3 linked regions of the Tamandua tetradactyla genome follow. The protein of the gene in region 1 binds, or shares a complex with, the protein of each later gene. Links are inferred from orthologs where the notes say so. Each region holds a gene or a part of one and is shown in the gene's direction. Other genes may lie near its edges.

Region 1 (8,484 bases):
GCCTCTCATTCAATGCATCCTTCAAATCTGCTGATTTCTTTTTTTTTGAAGCAGTCCACTATAATGGCCCCTGTGGACTTGCGAATTTCTATGTCTTCTTTGAGACAGCCTGCTATAGTTCGCTGCACCACAAACAACAGCCAACTGATTCCACACAGTCAAGCAAGTGGGTGACCCCTTCCCAGACCAAGGAAGTATGCCATCCCGGGATTACCCCAATAGAGTCCCAGATGCATGCCCTTTACAGCTGGTGGCTCTTTGTTCTCCTGGCTGGCTCGCCAAATATTCCAGTCCAGCATAACCCCCGAGACCAAAGAAAATGCTGGACAGAAGATTACTCATGAGTTTAACTAGGGGATTATGGACAGGAGGAAGATCTTCCCCAGTGGTGGCTGGTTGGAAGATGAGTCTGCACTCCACCCAATGAAAAGAGAGAAAAAGAAAGAGAGCATGCCCATGGAAAGGCTTATAAAGTTTAACTGCATTGTGAGATTTGGTACAGTAGAATTTTAGCAGAGTCTCATGAGATTTGGTTATTAGGGGAGGAGGTGTATATTCTTTGATCTTTAATGTCTGGCCTGGTCATGTAGGCAGATAAGTGACTTGCTCACAAAATACTGGAGAGGATGGGGTCCAGACACTGGGTCCTTACACTTATGGATGCTACCCCCCTCCCCCCCCAGTTTACCCATGACAAGGACAGACACAGACCTTCCACATACCCATTCTTTGCTTCATGTACTGGTTTGAAACTATTATGTACCCCAGAAAAGCCATGTTTTAATCCTGATACAATTTTGTGGGATCAGCCATTTCTTTAAATCCTGATTCAATACTGTAGGCAGAAAGGTTTTTTTTAGATTATCTCCAGGGAGATGTGACATGCCCACTTGTGGGTGTGATCTTTTGATTAGATGGAGGTGTGACTCCACCCATTCAAGGTGGTTCTTGATTGGTTTACTGTAGTCCTTTAAAGGGGAAAACATTTTGAAGAAGTCTCAGATGCAGGCGCAGACACAGACACTTGGAAATGCAGATGCAGACTCTTGGAGAACAGTTGTTTCAGAGCTGACAGAGACACGGATGCCTAGGCACTGGTAGATCCCAGGAGACGTTGCCATGTGCCTTCCCATGAGATGCTAAGCAAGGCAGAATACAGAGTTGTGTCATGGAGGAACTGAGTGAAGTCCAACAGATGCTTAGAGAAAAAACACTGTCATCAGAAGTGGAAGCAACAGAACCAGGAATAAGGACCAGCAGATGCCAGCTATCTGCCTTTCCAGCTGACTAAGTGTTGCAAACAACATCAGCCTCTCCTGAGTGAAAGTAAACTCTTGTTGATGCTTTAATTTGGACATTTTCATGGCCTTAGAACTGTGAACTTGTAACTTAATGAATTCCCTTTATAAAAGCTATTCCATTTCTGGTATACTGTATTCTGGCAGCATTAACAATCTAAAATACCTCATAAATGGCTAGCTGAATTGCTTATCTCCACTGATCTATCAGATCAAAATGATCAATCAGAACAAAGTTTACTAAGCAAACCTGGGTTAAACTTCTCTTCTTCCTCCAGATACCTGAACTCTAAAGGAACCTCCCAGAAAATAGGCTGATTCAAAGCATAAAATATTCTCTAATCTATTATCTGACCACGTCATCCTTTCATCCCACTACCCTACACCTGGTTTCTTTCCTCTGTATAATAGAAAGACTCATTTTGCCTAATTCTTGATGGTCAGAGAGGTCTCCCCCTTACTACAGGCCCTTCTCTCTATTGCAATAACCCCATTCATACTTTGCAATGATCCTTTTGAATAAAATCTTCCCTTACCAAACCTGGATTTGTTTTTTATTTGACTACAGAGATGAAATTTTACTACAATGAATATTAAGCATGCAACATTTATTGTTGTCTTGAGTTTGTTATTGTATGAAATACAACTATAAAACAAAGTGATTAATTTTAAACCAATGTGGTCAGAATAGCTTTATAGTAAAATGCATGGACCCTGAAACCAGACTGCCTGCTAGTCTACTTGCTAGTGGCGCACCCTTGGGCAAGTCCTGTCTCTGTTTCCTCATCTATAAAACCTAGGCATAGATTATCATCAGTAACAAGTGTCATACATTTGCTAAATAGTAAATAAACACAGCACAACACATTCATTAGATACTCTGGGCATTGAATATCCAAAGTAAGTATTATTCTTTTTGGAAGAACTATTCCAATGATGTAGCTATTGGTCAAAATATATGTGAAACTGTAATCAAAATGTTAAGAATTAATAAATGATTATGATTACTGGATCATTATATAGAGAACCGTATTTTCTTTTGTAGACTAACCTAACGTTAATACCTGACATTACTGAAACTCAAACTAGTCCCACTCTTATTTATAGCTACTACTGTAATGGTTATTCTAGCCTGGTCTGAACCCTATTTATATTTGATATCATAATGGTAATAATTCCATCTCCCCTTGTTTGAATCCATAAAAATCCTGAACTCCTTAGATTGGGAGAGAGAGATTTTGGGGTTGATAGGCCATTTGATCTCCTGCTTCTCCCTTACTAATATGCTTTTTCTCCCTTTGAAACCCTGGTGTCATGGATTAGCTGTTATGCACACCAAGCAGAGAAACTGTCTTTTGTTGGTATCAAAACCAGTACCACACTAATGCCAAATGTTAACAATAGGGAAAACTGTGTGGTGTGTGGTGGTGGTGGTGGGGCCGAGGGAGTTGTATGGAAACTCTATCCTTGCTGCATAAAGTTCTAGTAAACCTACAGCTGCTTTAATAAAAAAAATCTTTAAAATATATTTGAAACCAAATAAAATTGCCTTCAGAAGCTGTACATGTTCTTCCATAATATTACCCATGGCAGCAAATCTTCCTTTTTTGAAGATAGATTTGCTTTTTAAAATAGCCTGATGTCCTTCAAAGCCAAAGATGGTGAGTATAATGCGAGCAAGCTGGGAAGTACATTCTTGGGAAAAACGGGTGTGATTAAAGTAACGATGGCCCATTTTCTCTGAAGCACACTTCCAAAAGAGAAGCCTTGCAAATACGCTTAAGCAATGGCAGCGCCTTTGGATCAAATGCATATATCAGTTATCTATTGCTGCATAACAAAATAACCCAACAGGGAGCGATTAAAGACAACAAACATTTAATTTCTCAGTAGTGACTGTGAGTCAGGAATCCAGGGCGGCTTATCCAGGTCCTCAGGCTCAGGGTCTCTCACAAGGCTGAGATGAACGTATTGGCTGGGGCTGCAGCCATCTCAAGATTCAACTGGGGAAAAATCTGCTTCTAACTCTATGTGGCAGTTGCTGGGCCTAGGGCCTCACTGGGTGTGGCCTCTCCATACTGCTGTCTTCAGTGGCAGCTTCCTCAGAGGAAGGGATGAGAAAGAAAGAAAGAGAGACTCAAAGAGACAGAGACAGAGAACTCAAGGCAGAATTTACAGTCTTTTTTTTTTTTTTTTAAAACTAACCTTGGTGATAATATCCCATTACTTTAGTCTTATTCAATTTCTTAGAGATGAGTCAAAAAATTCAGGTCACCCCCAAGGAGAGGGGATTACACAAGGGGGTAAATAGCGATAGGCAGGGATCATTGCATAATCCCCTCAAGTGGCAAGGCTGAATGATAACACTCATTTCCAGATTTCTCTTTTTCTCTTTATATATGTCTAAATATGTGTGTGTGATTGTTTAAAAATTCGTCATCTTTTTATAAGAATGTTACAGTTTTTTTCTGTGATACAGATATCTTTGTGAAAAACTTATTTGACACAAAGAACATAGGATCTTAATCATCGTCACTCTTGTGCCTGAGTAATGGATTGAAATTACCTAGGTAAAAAGTTTAGTTCTAGTCCATTTCTTTTACGGTGGACTTCACCTCTGATAGAATTATTTATTTACTTTTTTGTAATTTGAAACATTTAAGTGACTATCATTGAACAAGATCCTGGTATTCTGACATTTCTAGCATTTTGTTTCTTAATGTCTTTTAATTCAGGAGTTAATTTATGTATTAACTTTACTAAAGACAAATGACACAAACTACCTGTTTTCAGTGAGCTCCCACCAGCCTGCAAATGCAAGCTATACAACTTCTCCAGCTAAGAATAATGCTTGTTAACAAACAACACCATTTTCATCTATCAAGATTTAATGAAAGTAGAGCCTTTCTTCCAAATTTTTTCAAGACTCTTTGTTTTTCTTAAATGGAGCAAACTTATAACAGAGGGTGCATATTTCTCAACAAAAGAGTCAAGTTTATTTGCTAATATGAAAGCCTTGTGTTGAAACCTCATGATTTGAGTCTAAATGTAAAGTCTAACTACCGTGGTGACTAAACCAAAGAGATGACCACTGCTTGACAACTAAAGACAGAAAATGGTGGATTAATACTGGAATCAGTAAGTCTTACCACAGAGCTTAAACTGATGTACATGGTTTTAAATTGACCCTGATCTGTGAACCTATGTATTTTATATGTGAAACTATATAAAAAACCAAATTTATGGAAAACACGTTCATCCACACCTACTGAATGACTGAATTATAGAACATAATTAATGACTGAATTAATAGAACAAACTTGCTGTATCTTTTTTTTTAACCTATAAATATTTCTTTAAATGCCTTCCTCTGAAATCCCACTCCCTTGTTAAACACTTAGCAATTTGGTATACATCTTCCAGATCTTTTCTATGTAACACGCAGATTCATGAGCACGCTATACGCATATTTGAAAGGGACCTTCTTCAACTTGTTTTTCCCTCTTTTCTCCTAAATGAGAAGTGCATTCCTGTATAATATCAAATTAACCATTATAAGAGTAAAAATCTTTTATCTTCTCAGAACGCTGAAGGTTCATTTGAAGTATAGGCAACTTCAAAAATACTCTCCTATTCAAACTGTCACATGAAGATTACTTTCACATACATCTCAATTATCTTCGTACAAATCCTACCAACTGCTGCTGTTAGCTCTATGGCAAAAAACGACAGTTAGTCAAGCGTGGTTGTGGGGGGAGACAATGCTAAACAGATTAACAATAACCCACAACCCTCGGACCAACCGATACAAACTGTTAATCTCTGCCTATTTATAGTTCCTTTTTGAACTCTTTTCTAAGTAAGGACACTTTTCATGACCTATTTCACAATCTTGACAGGAAAAATACGTAATAGTTTCCGACTAAATTCAGTGAAAATAAAACAAAATTACTCTTTTTAAAATAGTTTTGCAAGAATTTTATCAGCTAGCAACCTTTTTTGCATTTCCCTTTTACAAGTGCATTATGGGTAACACCTAGCTAAATCTGAAAGTAAACTAGGCGTATGGCTCCCAGCAATGAAGGCTGGAGAAGTTGCTCGCTAGTCTTGGTAAGTACAGCCCAGCTGGAGCTGGGAACCCACGCCCTGCCCTCGTAGAGGCGGAACCGCCGAGTGAATAACCGAAGGAATCTAGCCACTCTTTTGCCTCTGCGCTGCCATGTGGGACCTGCGCCTGCTTGTTTGGCGGGTTTTCCCCCTCACATTCATAGAAGTTTCAGAACCGCGTAGCCACGTCTGGTCTTCGCAGACGCGGATCCGGCGGAATCCGGAGTTCCTGGGAGGCAGAGCGCTGGCCTCCTTTTCCGTCTCTAGGGACTTGTATTTCCCACCAGCCTGCTCCATTTAATCCCTAAAAGTCCCCGTCCCCGGAAATCGCGGTCGTCTACTGTTCAGGTTCCAAATTGGTTAAGGATGAAGAGTAAGTCAATGGGGGTCATACAGGTGACCCCAGCAGGACTTCCTTCTTTTCCTCCAGTAATTGCAAATACCACCCAGGAAACGCCGTGTTTGTTAAAAAGAGAACTTCAGCAGTTTAAATGCCTCATAAATTAGTCATCGTTTCTCAATCCACCACGGCGGCCGAGGTATTTCTTATCAAGAACTGATTAGGAAATGCAAACCATGGGTGAGCCTTCGAAGCTTTAAATGAAGATTTTAATGAAAGCTTAAGGAAAAACTGAGAGGAGACTGTCCGCACTTGAGTATTTTGCACAAATTTTTTTGCCAACCAAACCCTTGTTTTTCTTAATTAAAGGAGAGGGTTTTGGCCAAGGATGTTGGTCAGAACCCGGGTGTTTCATTTGCCAGAAATACTTTCAATATGTAAGCCTTTCAGTATATCAGAATCTTTGGCCTTTTAAAGAAATTCTCTTGGGAAAGTTTGATAGATTTCCTGCAGTTATTCAGAGTAAAGCCTGTTCGTTAGGGCTTTCCAATGACTGACTGTTTTACCTTCCTGTAAAGACAAATCAGAGAATTGTACAGAAAAAGGCCTAAGGTTACTTTCTTATTTATTGTGATCAATGAAAAAAATTGGAAATTATAGAAATATTGGGACTGGGATTGGGAATTCCTGAAAAATGAAGGAACCCTCAGATAGTTAAGATACTAAACATTGTCGTAGAAAAAACTGGTGGCACAAAAAGTTTAGATTTTTAAAATACATGCAATCTAGGAAAGGCAGTAGATTTAGAGATATGCTGTCAAAGCTGTATTTTAAAGGCGAATAATTGTTGTAGTGACATCTTTAGAAATTTGGAGATTTTTTGTCAATTGAGGTGAAAATTTATATACCAGTAATCATAGTTTGTATAATAATTTGCAAATTTCCTTGTATTATCTCACTTATATTACACTAGTGATGTCTATATCTTTGGAAATTGATAGAACAGGTTATCTTTTTCTCCCTCCTATAATATTTATTTGATTCAAAGGAAATAAAATGAGATGTAGAGCAAGTATTTATAAATGGTGGGGTGAGAGGTTAGCTCTACATCTTAATAGAAATAGTTTTAGTTCTAGATCTACAAGGACTCAAGTTGCTTGCCCTCTTTTATGTTCTTGGAGATTTACCTCCATGCCAACCATTGTGCTAAGAGCTTTACTAGCTCTGTCTCATTTAGTCCTTAGAGCCTACTCCATTAGGTAGGTTAAATCAGTGAAATGAAATAACTTCCTCCAGGGCCACAATCTGTAAAAGGTGGAGCAGGAGCCCTCTCTGAGCCTGGGTCTCTCCAGGGCTAATGTGCTCCTTCTAAGCCCCTGACTCTTTCTCTCCATCAAAGATATTACTGCAGGGGTGAAAGGTGCCTAATCTAATGCCTAGCACCTACCAAGCACATTAAATAAAGGGTCATTTGAATTAATTAATAATCATTGAGTATGATTCTTCAGGGATTTAATTTTAATAACTTTGATCAACATTGTATCTATGTCCTCTTTTTTCCCTTCCCATTATCCAAAACATTTATAAATTCCTAGATTCATGCTAATGATCCCTTCTTTTCTGTTTTTTTTTAATTGAATGCAGTTTTATTGAGATATATTCACACACCATACAGTCCTTTTCTTTTTAAGCTATCTAACTGAATACAGTGAGCTATGTTTATATGGCTACAGGAGGAAACACTGTGTCCTCCAGGTGGGTCCCATCCTGAAATGATGAGACCGGGCAGACAAGTCACTGGACAGTGCCGTTGGGAAAGGAGCATCCTGTCTTGGCCCTGCACTGCCTGTTCTGAATCTGACACTGTCGCAACAATGGAATGGTGGCTGCGGTTTGAATCCAGCGTGGAATATTCAACCAGGGAATATGAGAGCCAAGTAGAGTAGGAGTCTTTGGCCCTTGCAGGTGACAGGGAAGTGAAGCGGCTTTGCTTGCTTTCCTGGCCGCCCTCACATCTGCTTGGGATCAGTGTCTCCACACCAGGATACCCAGACATTTTGGAAAAGATTTATTGCTTTTTCTGATTATAGGAGCAAATACATGATTGTTAGATAAAATTTGAAAATGTGGAAAAATATGAAGAGGAAAATTAAAAATGACCTAATTGGTCTACTACCCAAGTAGTTATTTCTTCCAATCCCTTTCTCTATGCGTTTTTTTTTTCAGTTGGGATCATGCCTAATACATTTTTTTTTTTTAACCATGCTACTTTTGCTTAACTTACTTATGAAGTCTAAGCATTTCCCCGTACCATTAAATTCTCTTCATGAGCATCCTTTTTAGAAACTGGGTAACAGTCCATCCTGTAGACAGCTCATAATTTACTCACTCATACCCCTAACGGTGGACACGTCAGTTATTTGCATTTTTTCACTGTATTATATAATGCCAGCATGAACATCCTGAGTTCATGCATCTTTCAATACCAGTTATTTTCTTGGTATAAATTTTTGGGAGTGAAATCACCAGATGTCAGAATATAATGATTCTTTAGGTTCTAGTTACACTTGCTGAGGGCTTTTCAGAAAGGCCGCGTGGTCTGGCACTCTTGAGACGTACTGGGGATGTCAGCAACATGTCTGTGGCGTTTGCAGCCTGGAGACGGACCAGGGAGACATGGCTCCCGCTGCTGTTCGGATGTTGAGTGGAAGTAACCATCATATTCTAAGGACTGTCAAA
Region 2 (7,902 bases), on another chromosome or scaffold:
CACTGAATTACCCTTGTATCCCTCAGTACATTTGCAACCCCCTCTACACTTGCACCCGCCCTTATTTTTACATTAGTGGAGTGAGGATGATAATACCTACCTATCTTGATCAGGGTTCATTTTATAGATAAAATGAAACTATTATGAGAGTGTACTTTAAACACTATAAAAAGTTGTACAAGTGAAAGATAGCATTAGATAGCACAGGGAAAGATAAGGTTGTATTAGGAAATTAATAATGTACAGATCTAAAGAAACTTTCCCTAGCAATTCTTACTTAACACGTGTATTTAAGTCTAGTTAAATTGAAAAGGCCAGCTCTGAAAGGGGAAGAAGGAAATATGGTATAAAGGTCAAAGTAGGATTAGAGCATGTTAGGTCCACAAAAATCTGGGGTGATAACTGAATTCAAACCTCTCATTTTCTACATGATGGACCTGGGGCCCAGAGGGGTCAAGTGAATCTTGTAAGGTCACTCATATTAGAAACACCTAATTCTTATCTCGTGATTCGCTTCCTTGTCAATGGCAGCCTCAATATAAAACAAATCATGCCCCCATGAAAATTCCTAATTAGGAGAGAAAAAATAAACAAACGACATACTTGGCAAGCAATACAACACAGAACACAATTTTAAATCTCAAAAAAATGTGACCAGAGAAGCACGGGTAATGAGAATCCCAGAATGAGTAAGTCAAGCAGCCAGGCTAAATTGGTGATAGGACTAAAGCTGAGGCCTTAGAATGTACGACATAGAATGTAGGTAAATAAAGATACTGTGAAATGGAGTGTAATATGGAGATGAATTGTGAATCATTTCTTAGGAAAACAATGGATATGATTGATGTTTGGAAGCATGATAATCTGTGTCATCCTGGGTGAAGAGGAACACTTCAATGTGCATTTAATACACGACTATTAATTACTTTTTTCTACTTGATCTTTATTAACACTTTAATTCTTACCCCATCCTTTCTTATAGTAAATGAAGTGGTGGACAAGAATGCTTAATTAAATATGATTGCCTAAGCAGATTTAAACCCAGAATAGTGCCTGCTCTTATTTGTTTCTAATGACTTGTCACCTCTTCTTCCCTCACCCCATCAGGTTCCCATTCTTCTTGGAACGGATAATCAATTTAATTAAAGGAGTATAAAAGGTAAAATCAAGGAGTAACTTTAGACACTACCCTCTTTTCCACCATTCCCTACACCTAACCAGTTCCCAAGCCCAGTGGATTTTTGATATGCTAAATATTTCTCAACCTGTCCTCTGCTCCGTATGCTGTTCCCTCTGCCACTTGATTCAGATTATCACCATTTCTCATGTCATTTACGCAATAACAGTTCAACTGGTATCTAGGCCTTCTTGCCTCTAGTGTTTCTATTCTCATTTCTCATAGTGGCAAAACTACCTTTTAAAAGTGTAAATCTGCTTTATACATATGGATAAAATCCTTCTTTAGTTTACAGGACAAAACCTAAACTCCATTGCCTGGCACAAAGAGCCTTTCAGGTCCTGGCTCTCTGTCGTAATTTTGGCTACTCCCAAACAAATAGCAAACCCCATCCCTAATGTAGCAATTTCTTCAACTCTCATGATTATTTTACTTGCTGAAAAGTTTCTCTGCTTATTTCAAACTGTTGACCCCCCTACTTATCCTTCAAAACTTCCTAATTCCTGGTCAGCTCAGCTATTCATTGCCTTTAGCTCCTTTACCAAGCTGCTAATATATGACTTCTTGTCCATATAGTAATTGACTGTAAAGTCCTCTTCTGTTGAGCTATGGAATCAATATACCTAGTGAGGTATCACCCCACCCTCTTGAAGAGGTCAAGAGGAATGCTTTAAGTGGGGAAAATAAGTAGGAGAAAGCGTGAACTAGATTTACAGAACTGAAAGAGGAGAAAAAGAAAGGAAAGGTAATAAATGGCCTTGCTAAGATAGCAGGGAAAGGAAGTTCATCAACAGACATTCACTTCCACAACAGGAAAGGCCTTCAACTGCTAAAATGGACAATCTATTTTTCTTTTCAGGAAAACATCACAATTATCCAAATCTTTAGCAAATTCCTTCTTTCCCCCTGCCTTCAGGACTAAACTAGCAGAAAATTTTTTTAATACCTGGTGATCTGGAGTTGGTAGCCAGCAGGGGAGTTCACAGGCCCAGGACTGAGAGGTCCAGCCTCAGGGCCTAGCAGAGGGAACCAAGAAGAAATCCACCTTTGTTATTTAACATTTGTCTGGAGCATGACAGGTCTGACATGAAACCCCCCAAAAGCTGCTTCAAACCACAACAGTGTGAAGCCCAGACTCCCACTATTTGCAAGTCTTTTGAAAATACCTTGTAACCTAACCATAGCATTTGCTTGGGTGGCCAACACTAAAGTGGCGTCTGTTCTATTGGATCCTTCCCAGCAAATGGTACCAGAGAAGATTTGCAGTATTAAGGCATGGACGGTGATTTATTTTCTTGATTATGAAATGACCATGGGTCAAAATTACTCCATTTTAGAGAGCACTCAGATTTTTTATTTTAAAGGGAAAGTAATAATTAAAAGGGCCTTTAAAAAAGCCTTTCATTCCCAACTAACATTTACAGGATACTTCCTACAAAGTGCCTAGCTCTTAGATATGTTTTTCACAGATTGGGTCAACCACCCATTTGCAGATGAGGAAATTGACGCTCAGCGTGGTCGTTAGTTGCATTGTTCTAGGAAATGGCCAAGGTGGAATTTGAACCCAGGTCTCTTAACATCCATTTCTGAGACCTGCAGTTACTTCAAACACTACTGCAAATAAAATCTAATAATGGTGTTCCTCGTGTATTTGTGTTTGAACTCTTGAGTTAAGCAGAACGGAAGCAATGGGAAGGAAATAAAATTTAGAGGAATGAGAAGGAGGGAGCAAGCGCTTATCCCATTTTCAATTTACTCAGAGGGTATTCTCAGAATAAACTTCAAACATTGCTTCCTCAAAACCACGGTTCTAACAAAAAAAATTAACGCAGAATGGCTGTGCGAGTCTCGTCAAAGTTGTCAATAAGGCAAAGGCTCAGGGCGGTAAAGAGATGCACCAGGTCATGCTATTTCATTTATTTCAGCGTGACAAGGGCGGTAGGGAGAGGAAGGTGAAAACGCGAGCTCTCCCGGGGCTAACTTGGTGTTCCAGATGCTTCCTTACTGTTACCGAGGCTGTGTGGCTTAGTCTCCATATTCCACTTGTTTTTACTCAGCGTTTCAGTCTCACTCCTGGACACACCGGACGCCAACACGCCTGTGAGAGAAAAGATCCTCTTTGATCTCTTCAGAGACGTCTATCTTTTCCACAGGCGGCCCCGGGGAGTGAATCTGGGGCCTCCCCCGACGCCTCTCTCGCGCTCGCGAACGCCGGGGTCGCGCGCCGAGGCGGGGGCGCCCTTTAAACACGCCAGTGCCCGCGATCCCGCGGCCGCCCACCCCGCGCGGAGGGGCGCGGGCGGCTTCGGGGCGTCGAGCGGAGGAAGAGGTGACCTCAGACTACCCCGGAGCCGGACAGGAGCCGCCTGTGTAAACGCACGAGGCGGTGTCCTGAGGTGACACCGGCTGCACCGCAGAAGCAGCAGGCGCCGCCGATCAACTAGTTCGCGCCGAGGATTCCTCTTGGTGCGTGGCCCAGTTCTACTCAGGACCCGCTCCAACCCCTCCCTGACACCGCCCCCCGCGCCGGGAAAGCCGCGCAGGCCGCCTCCCTCTGCCCCCCCGAGCCCCCGACACTGGCCGGCGCGCGCGCGCGCGATTCCTCGATTCCACAGGCGGTTCGCGGCCCGAGTGGGGGCGGGGCTCGCGGGGAGAGGACTGGCAGCCGCGGGCGAGGGGGGTGCGGGGCGGGGGCGAGCCGGCGTGGGGAGTTCCTCGCTCGCGGACCACACGCTCTGCGGGCCAATCCCGAGCCAGCCTCTAGCAGTGTCGCACGCGGGACACGTCCAAGCGTTTGTTGGCAGAGCTGGTGAGGGGGAGGGGGCGAGAGGGAGGGAGGGGAGTTGAATGACAGGCTCGCGGGGCAGGCTGGGAGTTGTAGTTCCCACCTCCCATGGCCATAGCCATTTTGTAGTCGGGGGACTACAACTTCCAGAAGATCAAGGGGACCATTCTAAGGTGCCCCGGGAATAGGCGGCTCTCCCCGGGGCCGGGCGTCCTGGGGCACTCGTACCCAGAAGCCGGGCTGCAGGTAGATGTGAGGGCAGTGGCGGGGGCTAGCGTGTGGGGGCTGTGGGGCGAGCGGCGAGTGGGGAGAAAAGGGGTGAGGTGGAGCGACCGAGCGTGCCATGCATTGGGTTTAGGGATCGTCTGTCAATTCCAGTCCTAGGCTCGGCGTGGGAGAGATGTCTGGAAGGTTGCCTGGGGCGGGCTCATTGCGGTCTCTCGGGTGTCTGGTCGACCGGGCTGCGGGGGTCCTCAGGACTGGGCCAGGGGCGGTGAGCGCCGCGGTTGGCTGGCGCCTGGTGGCTCAGCTGTGGGAGTTTTCGGCTAGTTTTTGAAGGGGAATTACCCGAGGAGCCCTAACTTGTATAAAAGCAGAGTCCATTTAAAGTTGGGCTGGATAGCCTCTCTCTCATTGGTTAGGGGGCTTGGAAAAAAGAGACTCGGCGAGCCCTCGCTGTGGTGCCGCCGCCGCCGCCGCTGGAGTTGACTCTTCTCTCACTGCTGCTGCAGCACAAACGTGACTTCCAACATTTTTTATTTATCTTTCCCTTTTCTTTTCCAAGATGTAACTACATATCAGACACTAAGGACCTTCACGTTCCGCTGATGTAGTTTTTGGAGGAAAAAGGGGGGAGTGAAGGGCGTCGGTTTTTTTTTTTTGTGTGTGTGTGTTTCGGGGGAAATTTTCCATTATGAGTGTTTTACTAAAGTGAATTTTTTTTTGTTTGCTTCGTTCGTCTTTGGCTCTTTTTTTTATTTTTCCTTCCCAATTTCGGATTTATTTCAAGGCGAATCTGGTTTTGGGGGAAGAGGAAGAAAAGTCGGATTACAAGATCAACCACCACGACCAACAACAATAAAAACCTACAGGATTTTTTTTGCAAATTTCTGACGGCTTTAAATTCATGAAGCAATTGTCCCCTTTTGCAATCAGCATTTGGATCTCAGAATGAGCAAGGAAAGACCCAAGAGGAATATCATTCAGAAGAAATACGTAAGTGCTCTTAACAACATATCCTTTGACTCGCAGTTTTAAGCAATGGCTGTGAATGTCAAGTTTATAGATAATTCTGCAGCTGAAGGGTTTTAAACACAGCGTCCGATAAGGCTTTTTCTTTCTTTTCAGAAAGAGGGCTTTTCAGGCAAAGTCGTGTCTGTTCAGTTTGGTCGAAAAAACAGATTGGTGTAGCGATACCTCAAGTGAATAAATTGACCTCGAATGACACAACCATAATGTAGTTTTGGATGAAAGGCAAGGGATTTTGGTGGAGCTTGGGGGGGTGGGGTGGGTGGGCGGTTGCGGTAATGTAACTAAACTGCATTCTCGGGCGGATTTGGCCCCCATATTGCACTTTGCATGCAAATGAGCCTGTTATTATTAATGTTATTTGAAAATCGTATAACGCGTGTGTAGTCTAAGCCTTTTAACTTGCAATCAAGTGTCCGATTTTGGCGACCTTGTTCCTTGCACTGGCACATCAAATTTAATGTATGGGATCGTTTTGGCTTATCTGGTTCGGAACATAAACCAGTTGGGAATCATGTTTCAGCGAATACATTTGTTGGGGTTGACTTTAATAATGGGGCTGGTTTTGTTTAAAAATTCATGGTTTCCAGTTTTAGGGAAAAAAAAGACTGGCTGGTGTTTTTAAGTGTGTGCGTAAATGCATATGTTAAGTGTCTACAAGTAATTTCTTCCTCTTAACTGATCTGATTATTCAGAGGTTTAAATGGTTTGGCACAGTTAAATTTGTTTCGTGCATAGTACAGCTACATTTTGATTGGCATTGGGAGTGTTTTTGTTTTGTGTGTGGTGGCTTTTTTTTTTTTAAGTTTGGGGGGAGGGAGGGGAGCATGAGACTGGGGGATTAACCAAATATATACTCTAGTGGTCGGCTATTAGCTGTACGCGTTAAATGAAAACCCATTTTTTAAAAAGGCCAAATGTTCATACATCGAGAATAATGCAGCGTTATAAGAAAGTTTTATTGGACTCGAGTTGACAAGTTGGGCGTTAATATTCCTTTTTGATATGTGTGGTGGGAGTAACATTCGGGGCACTGGTTTTGCAAAAAAAAAAAAAAATAATAGAAAAGATGAATACCTTTTTTAGAGGGGTGATCCTAATCTAGACACTTTAAACTTCCCCTGTGGAAGAAATTCAAGGTTAAATAATCAAGTCCAACTTAAAATGCTATTCCATAAAGAATTTACGAATTAAAATACATCCGCATTGCAGAGGGTTGGGGAGAATGCAAAGCACTAGTTTAAACTCAGGCTGTATAAACTGCATGGAGGCAACCTTGCCTGCGAGCGTGGAAGCCCTCCCGGGGCACGTCCATTTGGGATGCAGCCACAAAGCAAATTGGGTAGAACTTGGACAAGAACCGCCCCTTCTACACCCCCCACCCCCACCCCCCGCTGCCCCAACCTCGTTAAGTTGGAGAGTAGTGTGGGGCGGATATTTTTTGTGTGTGACTACGCCGGCGGATGGTGCGGCAGCCAAAGTGTCGAGTCCCGCCGCTGTAATCCCGTGTCTGACGGCGGCCGGGGAGGCAGAGCTCGAGTTGTTGCTTTGGGAGAGGAGCCGTGTTCCGGACGTCCTCGGGCCAGCCGGGGAGGGGGCGCCCGGGTCGCCGTGGGCCAGGCTGGATGGCCTGTAGGGGGCAGGCTCCCGGTTCCGGGCGGGGGCGCGAGACGGACGCCGTGCGCCCCGGGACGGCCCGCGGGTGGGGTGGGGCAGGGGCAGGGGGCGCGAGGCCTGCTAGGTCCCGGGGAGTGTGCGGCGTGTGCCGGGAGGGGGCCAGACCGCCCACAGCTGAGGCGGGAGCCCCCACGGTGAGCATGGCGGCGGCGGCGGCCGCCCGGGGGCCGGTTCTTTGCGGCCCTGCCGGCGGGCTCCAAGGCGCAGTCTCGAGCGCAACAGGTTAAGCCGGCGAGACGTCAGTCCGCTCCCCCCACCCCCCGGTCCTCCCCCCGCCGGCGCCCCCGCCCTCCACCCCCGGCTTCTCCCGGTGCCCGTGTGCGTCCCGCTGCGTTCTGTTGTCATTGTGACGTCACAAAGGGACGGGCCTGGGTGGAACCTTCCCCTCCTCCTCTGTGACGTCAGAAGTCGGGCGGGAGGTTCCAGACGCATCCCGGCTGCGGTGGGAGGAGGGAGCGCGGCTGGGGCCGGGGCTGCGGAGGAGCCGCGTGGCCTAACCGCGGCTGTAAATCCGCGTGGGAGGAGGAGCGGGAGGATGCGCTCTGCCTCTGCCTTCCGCCCCGAAACTGCGCTTCCCACCAGGTGAGAGCCGAGAACCTGTCGTCTCGGAACGAGAGCCCCCGGATCTTGCTCTGATTCCGTGGAGGGGTGCAGAAATGCGTTTCCTCCGTTCCAGGTCTTCTGATGGTATTGCGTTTCCAAGGCTTTTGAAAAGGAAGGAAACTTAATTCAGGGAAAGCTTTGATTTGTTGGAGGACACCCTCGTTGAGTGTGTCTTTGCAGGATGTGCACCCTGTGGCGGCTGGGTGATGGCTGAATGCACCGCAGCTTGATGTCATCTGTTGTACTTTCTGGAAGCCAAGGTGGCGGGGGTGGTGTGTGGATCGCTCCTCCTTGGTATGCTGGCTCTCTGCCTAGAGAGTGTATTTTTTGGGGGTAGGGAACACACAGGGAAGACTTATCATTGATTGATATTTCTGCTTGGAAGACCACTGGACTCTAAGTGTATCGGCCC
Region 3 (8,252 bases), on another chromosome or scaffold:
ATTCCACTGGTGAAATAAATGTTGTGTCCCCAATAAATGGTTGGCTAGAAAGATTACACGGCTCTATCACCCTTATGTAGGACACCTAACCAGAGTTTGAGTTCCAGGAGAGCAGAGATTTTTCCTTGATTTATCATAGGTATATACACAGTGCTAGGAGCATGGCCTGACGCATAGCAGACATTCCATGTATTCAATAGCTCCAAACCATTATAAATATTACATGTATTTAGATTTTTCCCTGTCTTCCCAGGGATTTGATGGATAAAATATTAACTGGTATTATGATTTGTATGCTACAACAACCGATGTGCTGGGGGTGCAAGGGTAGTTCAGTGGTAGAATTCTCGCCTGCCATGTGGGAGACCCGGGTTTGATTCCTGGTCCATGTACTTCCCAAAACAGACAAACAAACAAGCAAAGAAAGAAAAAACAAACAAAAATTCAACAAATGCCGCTGCAGTAACAGGATACTCATGTGGAAAAAGAATGAAATGTGACTCCCGCCATACAGCATACAAAAATATATATATATGTATACCTAATGTGTCAAATTTAATTTTTGTAACTGAGAGAGTTTTGAACATGGAATAAAGTTGGTTAACAAGTCATATGAAGATACGTGAAAAGACACAAGAATGGTGATATCTATGGTATTTACCTCCCACCTTTTGCCTACTTTCACCTGGAGTTTATAGAAGAAAACTTCACTAAGTTCAAAATGAGAAAATACTCAAAATACTACACAGGCATATGACGTTGTTGTGAAAGGGTGTCAGCCAAAGCAATTATGTCTCTGATGAGAGATTTTAACTCAAAAGCTATAACTATTATTTGGTTGGGTTTTGGTTAGATTACAATCTACAGATTGGGAAAGCTAGCATTAGATTTCTAGATCTTTCCACCTTCACGATCCTATCATTCTTTAAGACGTCTTTCCATGCATATTGTTTTTAAGAGTCAATCAGAGAATGAGGCCATTATGCTGCCACTGATTTTGCTCACGATGGTAACAGCAACACAAAACAAGGCACCTAAAATAAAAGTGCAAAATGTGATGTAGTTACATATTTAAGAGAATTTCTCAGAAGTATCTCACATGCAGTGTAGCAGGAATCTCGGCTTGAATGTAAACTGGATCTGTTGCTGGGGTTCAAGCATGTCTGGGCATGTCTGGCAAACTGGTGAGACAGGACTGAAAGAAACTTGCTTACATGGGGGCTGAGGCTGCTTCCTGGAACAGAACTCATTTTCGTGGAAGAAAGAATTAGACAGAGAAGCCCTATAAGAAAGACTTACTCATTGGATGGGGAGTAATAAATACAGCGTGGGGTAGCTGCTACTCAAATCTGTCGCCATTCTAGGCCCATGAAAGCATGTCTGGGTCCCTTAGAGAGACAGACTTCTGAATAAAAAACATAAAGAGCTGTTTCACTGAAACAGTGTATAATACTGGGCATAAGCAGTTTGCTTTGGGGTTCCCCTAGCAAAGGTCAACACGAACGTCTCCATTTCTTCAGACGACACCATGGCTTGGGCTGTTTGTATCACATGCAAAAGCTCCTGGTAGGAGTTTGCAGTGTCTAGAACAGTGAAGAGGGCTCTCAGAAATATTTTTTTGGTGTACTCTGCTGGAAGCTGATGTCCTGACTATGTAAGTAGGCTTGGTAGGCACAAAAGATAATGATATTTGAGTTATTTTTGTTAATGCGACCTCATTAATACTATAATTGATGAGTTTGAATAATATTTGTAATCAATTAGCTTTTATGCAGTATTATTGGGCAATTTGTAATTATTTATAGGGTCACATACTGTCTGAGCTGAAGCGAACTGTAGAACAGTGATTCTCAATTTGTGAACAGTTTTTTGTCTTTCTTTTTAATTTGCAAAGGACTGCTACTTGTGTAAAGTACAGTGAAAATGAATGGCCAGAATAATGAAATTAAAAAAAAAAAAACAACAGTTGACATAAACAAAAAGGATTGATTTTTATTATTAGGTTCAGCAGACGTAAAACAGAATTACTCTGTCGGGTTGTTAACAAAGTTTGGAAACGTTCATTTCGGTATTTTTGCGGTCGCATTCAGGTAAGGAAGGCTTTGTGTTGTGTTTGTGGAAGCAGCCACGCTTTCCGCTGTCTCTTCCAACCTCTCAGCTGATGCTGCCTAAAGAAACTCTATCAATGGAGGTGCAGAATCTATTAAAACAACGATTTAAATTTCGAGAGTTTAATGACACCGATACACTGTGGTAATGTGGAGAAAGATCTTGTTTTTAGGAGACGCATGCAGAGTAGTGACGTCTGCAACTGAAGCCGATAAACCTGAGAGGGAAACTGGGAGAGAGGGATAGAGGGAGGCAGAGGGAGGGGGAGAGAGGGAAGTAGAGAGGGTGCACATATGGCAAATTGCAGTAACTGATGAATCTAGATAGGTGTATGGGTGAGCTTATTATACAATTATTTAAACTTTTTAGAAAACTTGCTATTAAAATAACAAAAAACAAACAAAACCAAAAACAAAATAAACACCACCCCCCGGAAAAAAAAACAACTCTGCAGTAGTGGAAAACTCATTATTTTCTCCAAAAAACCCAATTTCATCTTAAAGTATAAATATTGTAGCTGGAGCACTCATTTGTGGCTTTGATTACTGTCATTTCCATGTGTAAATCTCCATTCACTTTTTTTTCAGTCCCTCCATATCCCCTATACATTAGATATGGCCTTACTACATAGCTGTACTCACACCTTTCTTAAGATACCTCAGAATATACTCGTTATTTTTCAGCATCAAAACTCTTAATTCAAGACCTGCAAAAGCATTGCTTTCTCATGATTGATTAACCCTGTCTCAAATAAACTTTTATGCTTTTCTATGCTATTGCTTCTGTCTTAGAATTCCCCCCCGCACAATTATATTTTATTTACTCTTCAAGATCCAGCTCAAATTATTTAAATTTACATGTAGCTATCATCTACCTTACTTTCTACACTTCTGTTTAAATCTTACATTCTTCACGAAGTTTCCTTGATGAACTCAGCCAAAGGTCTCTAGTACTTAACAGAGAGCTTGGTGATTACACTCAGTAAACAGTTTTGAGTGAATACGCTCTGTTTAGTTCTTCATTTTCAATAAGGGTGTATTATCAAAAAATGGCTTTGAGGTAAAAATGGAGTACTGTAGTGAAGGAACTATAATGCTTTCATACTAATTTTATTTTGTTTTCTCTTGAGACAACATCGCATGTAACTGATGTCCAAAACCTGAGCATGAGACATAATACTGGGGTACTCACGGTATATGAAGACTTTCCCGTATGTGTATGAGCACAGACTCTATTTTAAGGCAATAGGTTGTCTGATACTCATCTCCCTTAGACAGGTGTCCTTAAAATTGATCTGCTTGAAAATGTGCCCTGGGTTCAGGGTGCAGTGCAGACTACCCTCCCTTATTCCAATTGCCTTTCTCCCAAACAAAAGAAATGAAAGCATGATGCACACTCACCTCAAATCTTAAGGGCCAAAAATCTCCCAAAATTTTACTAAAAGGGCAAAAAAACCCTCCAGGATGCAAAAACCTCCAGAACACCAATGAAGGGGCAAGTGGAAATACTGTGGGTGAGTGAGAATGAGGAGCACATCCATTACAAATCAGGTGGTTTTCAGTTACACACAGCAGAGTTGAAGGAAAACCTAATCAGAGTTGTCAGCTGAAAGATCATTGAAAGTATTTTGTTGTTGTTAAATCTCTATGATTTTTTGGCATATAATTTGGAAGGAGTTCAAAGATTTGAGTGACATTGCTATTATTCACAGAAGTCCATTCATTCGCATCTACTTATTGTTGTGAACAAGTTTCCTCGGTGTCTACATCCACGGAATTGAAAACTTGGAATAGAATTAACGCTGAACTCCTTATTTTTCTAGTAATATTCAGCCACTGATTAAACTTGTTGAAACAAAAACCTATCTAACTCCATTGCTGTAAGAATGGTCTCCTCCAGGTTTTACTTTTGTGTTTAATACTTACAAAAATTTACCATATGTGTTTTGACTAGTTGTAATAACACTTAGAATCTTATGGTCAGTAAAATTAAAAAAAAAACCCTTAAATTTCAGTTTGTATGCACATTTTTGTTATACGTTAAGAGTGATAGGATCAATAAAAGACAAAATGTTTTATTGGGATAAAATACTGGAGGGGAAGTTTAATACAAATAAAAGTTCCAAAAGATAAAGGAAAGATTGACAATTTCTGTGTAAAAGAAGAGATTGTTCACGTATTCTAAAAGAGTGGATTTGGCGGGTATTAAATCCCTATGGTATTGGAATTGCCTACATTTAAAAAGGGTGACAGTTACATTTTAAAGCCAGTACTTATAACACGCTGGAAAAAAACCGTAGGTGCCATCTACGTTTAAGACTGTACATAGTTTTACAAAATTAAGGGGCTCATGACTTACAACGTTTGAAGACTTCTCACCCAAAGGATGGATACTCTGAGGTTATGATTTCACCATCATTACAACTATTCAAACAGGTTAGATTTAAACCTGTGGCTCTATGTTGCACATATGGACTTAGTAACTTGTATGATTTAATTTGGTTCCTTTTAATCGCCTCTCCTTGGAGATCATAACCTCTCTTAAGGCCAGGAACTTATTCCATCCCAGGCTCAGCGCCAGTACGCAGCGGACACTCCCCAAATACCGCCGAAACAAATGACTTTCTCGTGCGAATTCGGAGGGTTGTTAAAATCCCCGGTCAGCGTTGGGGTTTCAGTTTCTTGTGTTGCGCTCGCCGCGCTGCCCGAGAGCGCGTGGGAGGACCCCTAGGAAACTCTGACGGCACCGAGCGGGAGCTGGGGCGCGGGCGCGGAACCTGCGGACTGGGGAGGCGGCACCTCATGCTCCGCGCAGGCGCGCAACTGTCTCCGCGTGAGTGCGCGTAGTCGCGCGCCTGTCCCCGCGCGGGCTCCGTAGCGCGTGTGCAAGCTGACGCAGCTCGCGGGCCCTCCTCCTGCTCTGCCGCGGCTTCGGCGGAGTTTTGGGCGTTTGGGAGGGGGCGAGGGAGCGAGAGTAGAGACAGCGAGAAGGCGGCAGCGGCGGCGGCGAGGAGGAGGAGGAGGAGGAGTAACAGGCGCCGCCATGGCCGCCGCTATCACCGACATGGCCGACCTGGAGGAGCTCTCCCGCCTGAGCCCTCTGCCCCCTGGCAGCCTCGGCGCGGCGCGAGGTCGGGCTGAGCCCCCTGAAGAGGAGGAGGAAGAGGAGGAGGAAGAAGAGGAGGCGGAGGCCGAGGCGGTGGCTGCACTGCTGCTGAACGGCGGCGGCGGTGGGGGTGGCGGCGGCGGAGTGGGGGGCGGCGAGGCGGAGACGATGTCGGAGCCTAGCCCCGAGAGCGCCAGCCAGGCCGGGGAGGACGAGGACGAAGAGGAGGACGATGAGGAGGACGAGAGCAGCAGCAGTGGCGGGGGCGAGGAGGAGAGTAGCGCCGAGAGCCTGGTGGGCAGCAGTGGCGGGAGCAGTAGCGACGAGACCCGGTCCCTGAGCCCCGGCGCTGCCAGCAGCAGCAGCGGGGATGGCGATGGCAAGGAGGGCCTGGAGGAGCCCAAGGGACCGCGGGGTAGCCAGGGTGGCGGTGGGGGCGGCGGCAGCAGCAGCAGCAGTGTAGTCTCCAGCGGCGGCGACGAGGGTTACGGGACCGGGGGAGGCGGAAGCAGCGCGACCTCCGGGGGCCGGCGAGGCAGCTTAGAAATGTCTTCGGATGGGGAGCCCCTAAGCCGCATGGACTCGGAGGACAGGTCAGTGCACCGAACCGTCTCCCCTTCCCTATGCCCTCTTGCACTCCTGGACCCCTTTAGGGGACTTTCTGCTGAGACCCCCGTGTTCCCTGAACCTTCGGCGCCTCCCCCAGGCTCTCAACTCCGAGATCTCCGACCGCCGCGCCCCTTTCGCAGCGGATAGCGGCTTCTAACTCTCAGACCATTTTTCTCCAACTCTCCTTTCCCCGCCCTCTTCCCTCTAGGCTCTGTGCTTCTTATGGACCTAAGGGGAGCTCTAACTTGGAAACAATCCCCAAATAGGTCCCCGATCTCCTGGTGGAGCACGAGGAGGCTTTGATGTACACCTTGGTACATAAGGTTAGCTTCATTCAACCGTCCTCGTGAACACTTGTCAGAACTATAATTGACAAGTGTCTTCCAACATGGCTGGTCTCGCCTGGATTTAACATAACTTCCTTGTCCAGGAAGGAGACCCCAATTATCGCTTTTCTCTACTTAAAGAAAAAAAAAATAAAAAAGGAAGATTGTGCTTTTATATTTAATCAAAGCTTTCCAAATTCCTCATTTGCAGTCATTAATGTGATTTCTGACATGATTTTAATAATCTTTTCTGTTTTGTGGTCAAATCTGGAAGTTTAAAACGCGTGTAAATTATCGTGGAAAGAATAATGAATTGCTGTTTTTTAAAATAACGGGCGTCAAAAAGTAGTAATGATAATACAGTGTCGAAGGTTCAACATACTAGTGTGTCGTTTAAAATCTTTAAAAAGTAATGCTTCGAAGTGAGAGTCACGATTTTAGATGATATTAAAAGTCATGTATGGGAGAGGCCTATGAAGAAATGAGTATCATTTTCTAAAACTTGCTAGGAATAAAGTGGAGACTGATTAAAAATGCATCCAGTATTTTCAGATTTGATAAAAATATTGTAATAGTATGTTTCCGTTCACAATCATTACACTGATCCCTTTGGAGAACTTAATGTTTTAATTAACTGGTTTTTAATGTACTTTTAAACAAAAGAATTATATGCATCATGCATATTATATTTCTAAAGTATATTAGCATTTATTTTAATCATCTAATATTTTGAGGAGCAGTAGGATTTTTAACAATCAGTATTGATTTTGATTTAAGAGTTTAAGTATTCTAAAGTTTTTTTTGCAGGAATTTTGATGAACAAAAGTAAAACTATCTTCAGTGTTACAAGGAATACAAAGGTCTGAATATTTTGGAAATCTAGCATTAGATTCTGTTCCACGTTTACTTTGTCTAGTTAAAACAGTTTGGATGGAGTAAAATAGACTATGAATGTTAGAAAAATTGTTCGTACCTAGGCAGGAAGAAGAATGTTCTCAAGAAAATTACAGATTATTTGTGAACTGCATAGTGAATTACGTGCTGTTTATCATTTTGTTATATTCTTCACTGCTACCACTAGAAGTTGATGTTAGGTTATACAGTCAGCATCTATCGCAGTTCCTTGTATTTACTGAATATTCATACACACACATAAACACACACATAAACATCCACATTTGCCTAATACTGCACAGTTTAAATGTTTCAGCTTTAGTACAGGATATTATTTTGACTTCCATTTAATAGATGATGAAACAAGTTGAGTTGTGTCTTACTCAAAACAATTCAGCTTGGGAGTTAACAAAGGTTCTCAAGTCCCCTGTTATTTCAATTTAACAAGACACTGAATAATTCACCTTAAGTAGCAAGTTGTGTATGTCAGATTTTGTTTGTTGCGTTAATTTCTTTCCATTACATCTCCTAAGGAGACAGTTTGTTGGCCATGTAATATTTCAGAAAGGATGAATTTTGGTTTCATTTGACATTTAATAGATAATTTCTTTGAAAATCTAATTTTTACATCCTTCAAAGTAAGGAGTAATGGTTTCAGGTGGTTAAAACGTAGATAACTAAGCATACTTGTCTTTTCTTAAAGAATGCTTAAATATTAGAGATTTCAAAATTTTGTGGTAATTTTTATATACAGTTTCAGGGTATTAAATTAATCACTTGGATGAAAGAGCTTTATATAAGTAGTGAACCTGGTTGCTGGTCTTGAACTTAATTCTGAAATGTCCTCTTCTTGCCTCTGAAGGTCCCCCCTCTCCCCCCAGAGTTGTTTTAATTTGGAAAGAATCCATAATTCTTATAAATTATCCTGCAGATTACGTCAATCTGTGGGGATTTCATAGATTGATTTCATGGAAGGAAGTCTTTATTTTTGTAACTGATTGAAGCATATCATGGCTGTCAGTTGCTTTTAAAAATATTTGAGACATTACAATATCCTTAAAACTTAGGTTTGTTCAGTTTTTCTGTCATTTCGAAATTAGGTGGTACTTTTGATTTTATTTGAAAGCTTTAGGGTTTGTTGGATTCAAATTTTTTTTGCATGGGCAGGCACTGGGAATCGAACCCAGGTCTCCGGCATGGCAGGTGAGA

Evidence for each region. Proteins that work in one complex are often made in the same cells at the same time.
Region 2: the proteins of EZH2 (region 1) and JARID2 are in contact, whole or in part, in a cryo-EM structure (PDB 8VNZ), measured with the Homo sapiens proteins. The link is inferred for Tamandua tetradactyla from reciprocal best matches to the Homo sapiens genes EZH2 and JARID2. Residues at the interface, in NP_001190176.1 of Homo sapiens: Arg78, Ile131, Pro132, Tyr133, Asp136, Ile146, Lys156, Val157, Asp160, Arg161; in NP_004964.2 of Homo sapiens: Arg108, Pro109, Arg110, Leu111, Ala113, Gln114, Arg115, Lys116, Thr154.
Region 3: the proteins of EZH2 (region 1) and AEBP2 are in contact, whole or in part, in a cryo-EM structure (PDB 8VMI), measured with the Homo sapiens proteins. The link is inferred for Tamandua tetradactyla from reciprocal best matches to the Homo sapiens genes EZH2 and AEBP2. Residues at the interface, in NP_001190176.1 of Homo sapiens: Ser76, Leu77, Arg78, Gly79, Thr80, Thr100, Asn102, Ala103, Val104, Ala105, Ser619, Asp620, Val621, Ala622, Ile739, Glu742, Met743, Glu744, Ile745, Pro746; in NP_001107648.1 of Homo sapiens: Lys382, Leu383, Lys384, Asn385, Arg387, Arg388, Ser390, Leu391, Pro392, His395, Asp399, Ala400, Gln401, Asp404, Ala405, Arg407, His408, Ile411, Cys412, Leu415.

Annotation. Positions count from the first base shown.
Region 1 is NC_135327.1:193,080,102-193,088,585, reverse strand, and holds the start of EZH2 (histone-lysine N-methyltransferase EZH2), read left to right. Parts: upstream 1-5,362; 5' UTR 5,363-5,363; coding exon 5,364-5,408; intron 5,409-8,484. UniProt on the Homo sapiens protein: Polycomb group (PcG) protein. Catalytic subunit of the PRC2/EED-EZH2 complex, which methylates 'Lys-9' (H3K9me) and 'Lys-27' (H3K27me) of histone H3, leading to transcriptional repression of the affected target gene.
Region 2 is NC_135351.1:18,258,068-18,265,969, forward strand, and holds the start of JARID2 (protein Jumonji), read left to right. Parts: upstream 1-4,593; 5' UTR 4,594-5,132; coding exon 5,133-5,177; intron 5,178-6,287; exon of another isoform or gene 6,288-6,331; intron 6,332-6,614; exon of another isoform or gene 6,615-6,860; intron 6,861-7,902.
Region 3 is NC_135333.1:82,025,894-82,034,145, forward strand, and holds the start of AEBP2 (zinc finger protein AEBP2), read left to right. Parts: upstream 1-4,943; 5' UTR 4,944-5,151; coding exon 5,152-5,807; intron 5,808-8,252. UniProt on the Homo sapiens protein: Acts as an accessory subunit for the core Polycomb repressive complex 2 (PRC2), which mediates histone H3K27 (H3K27me3) trimethylation on chromatin leading to transcriptional repression of the affected target gene.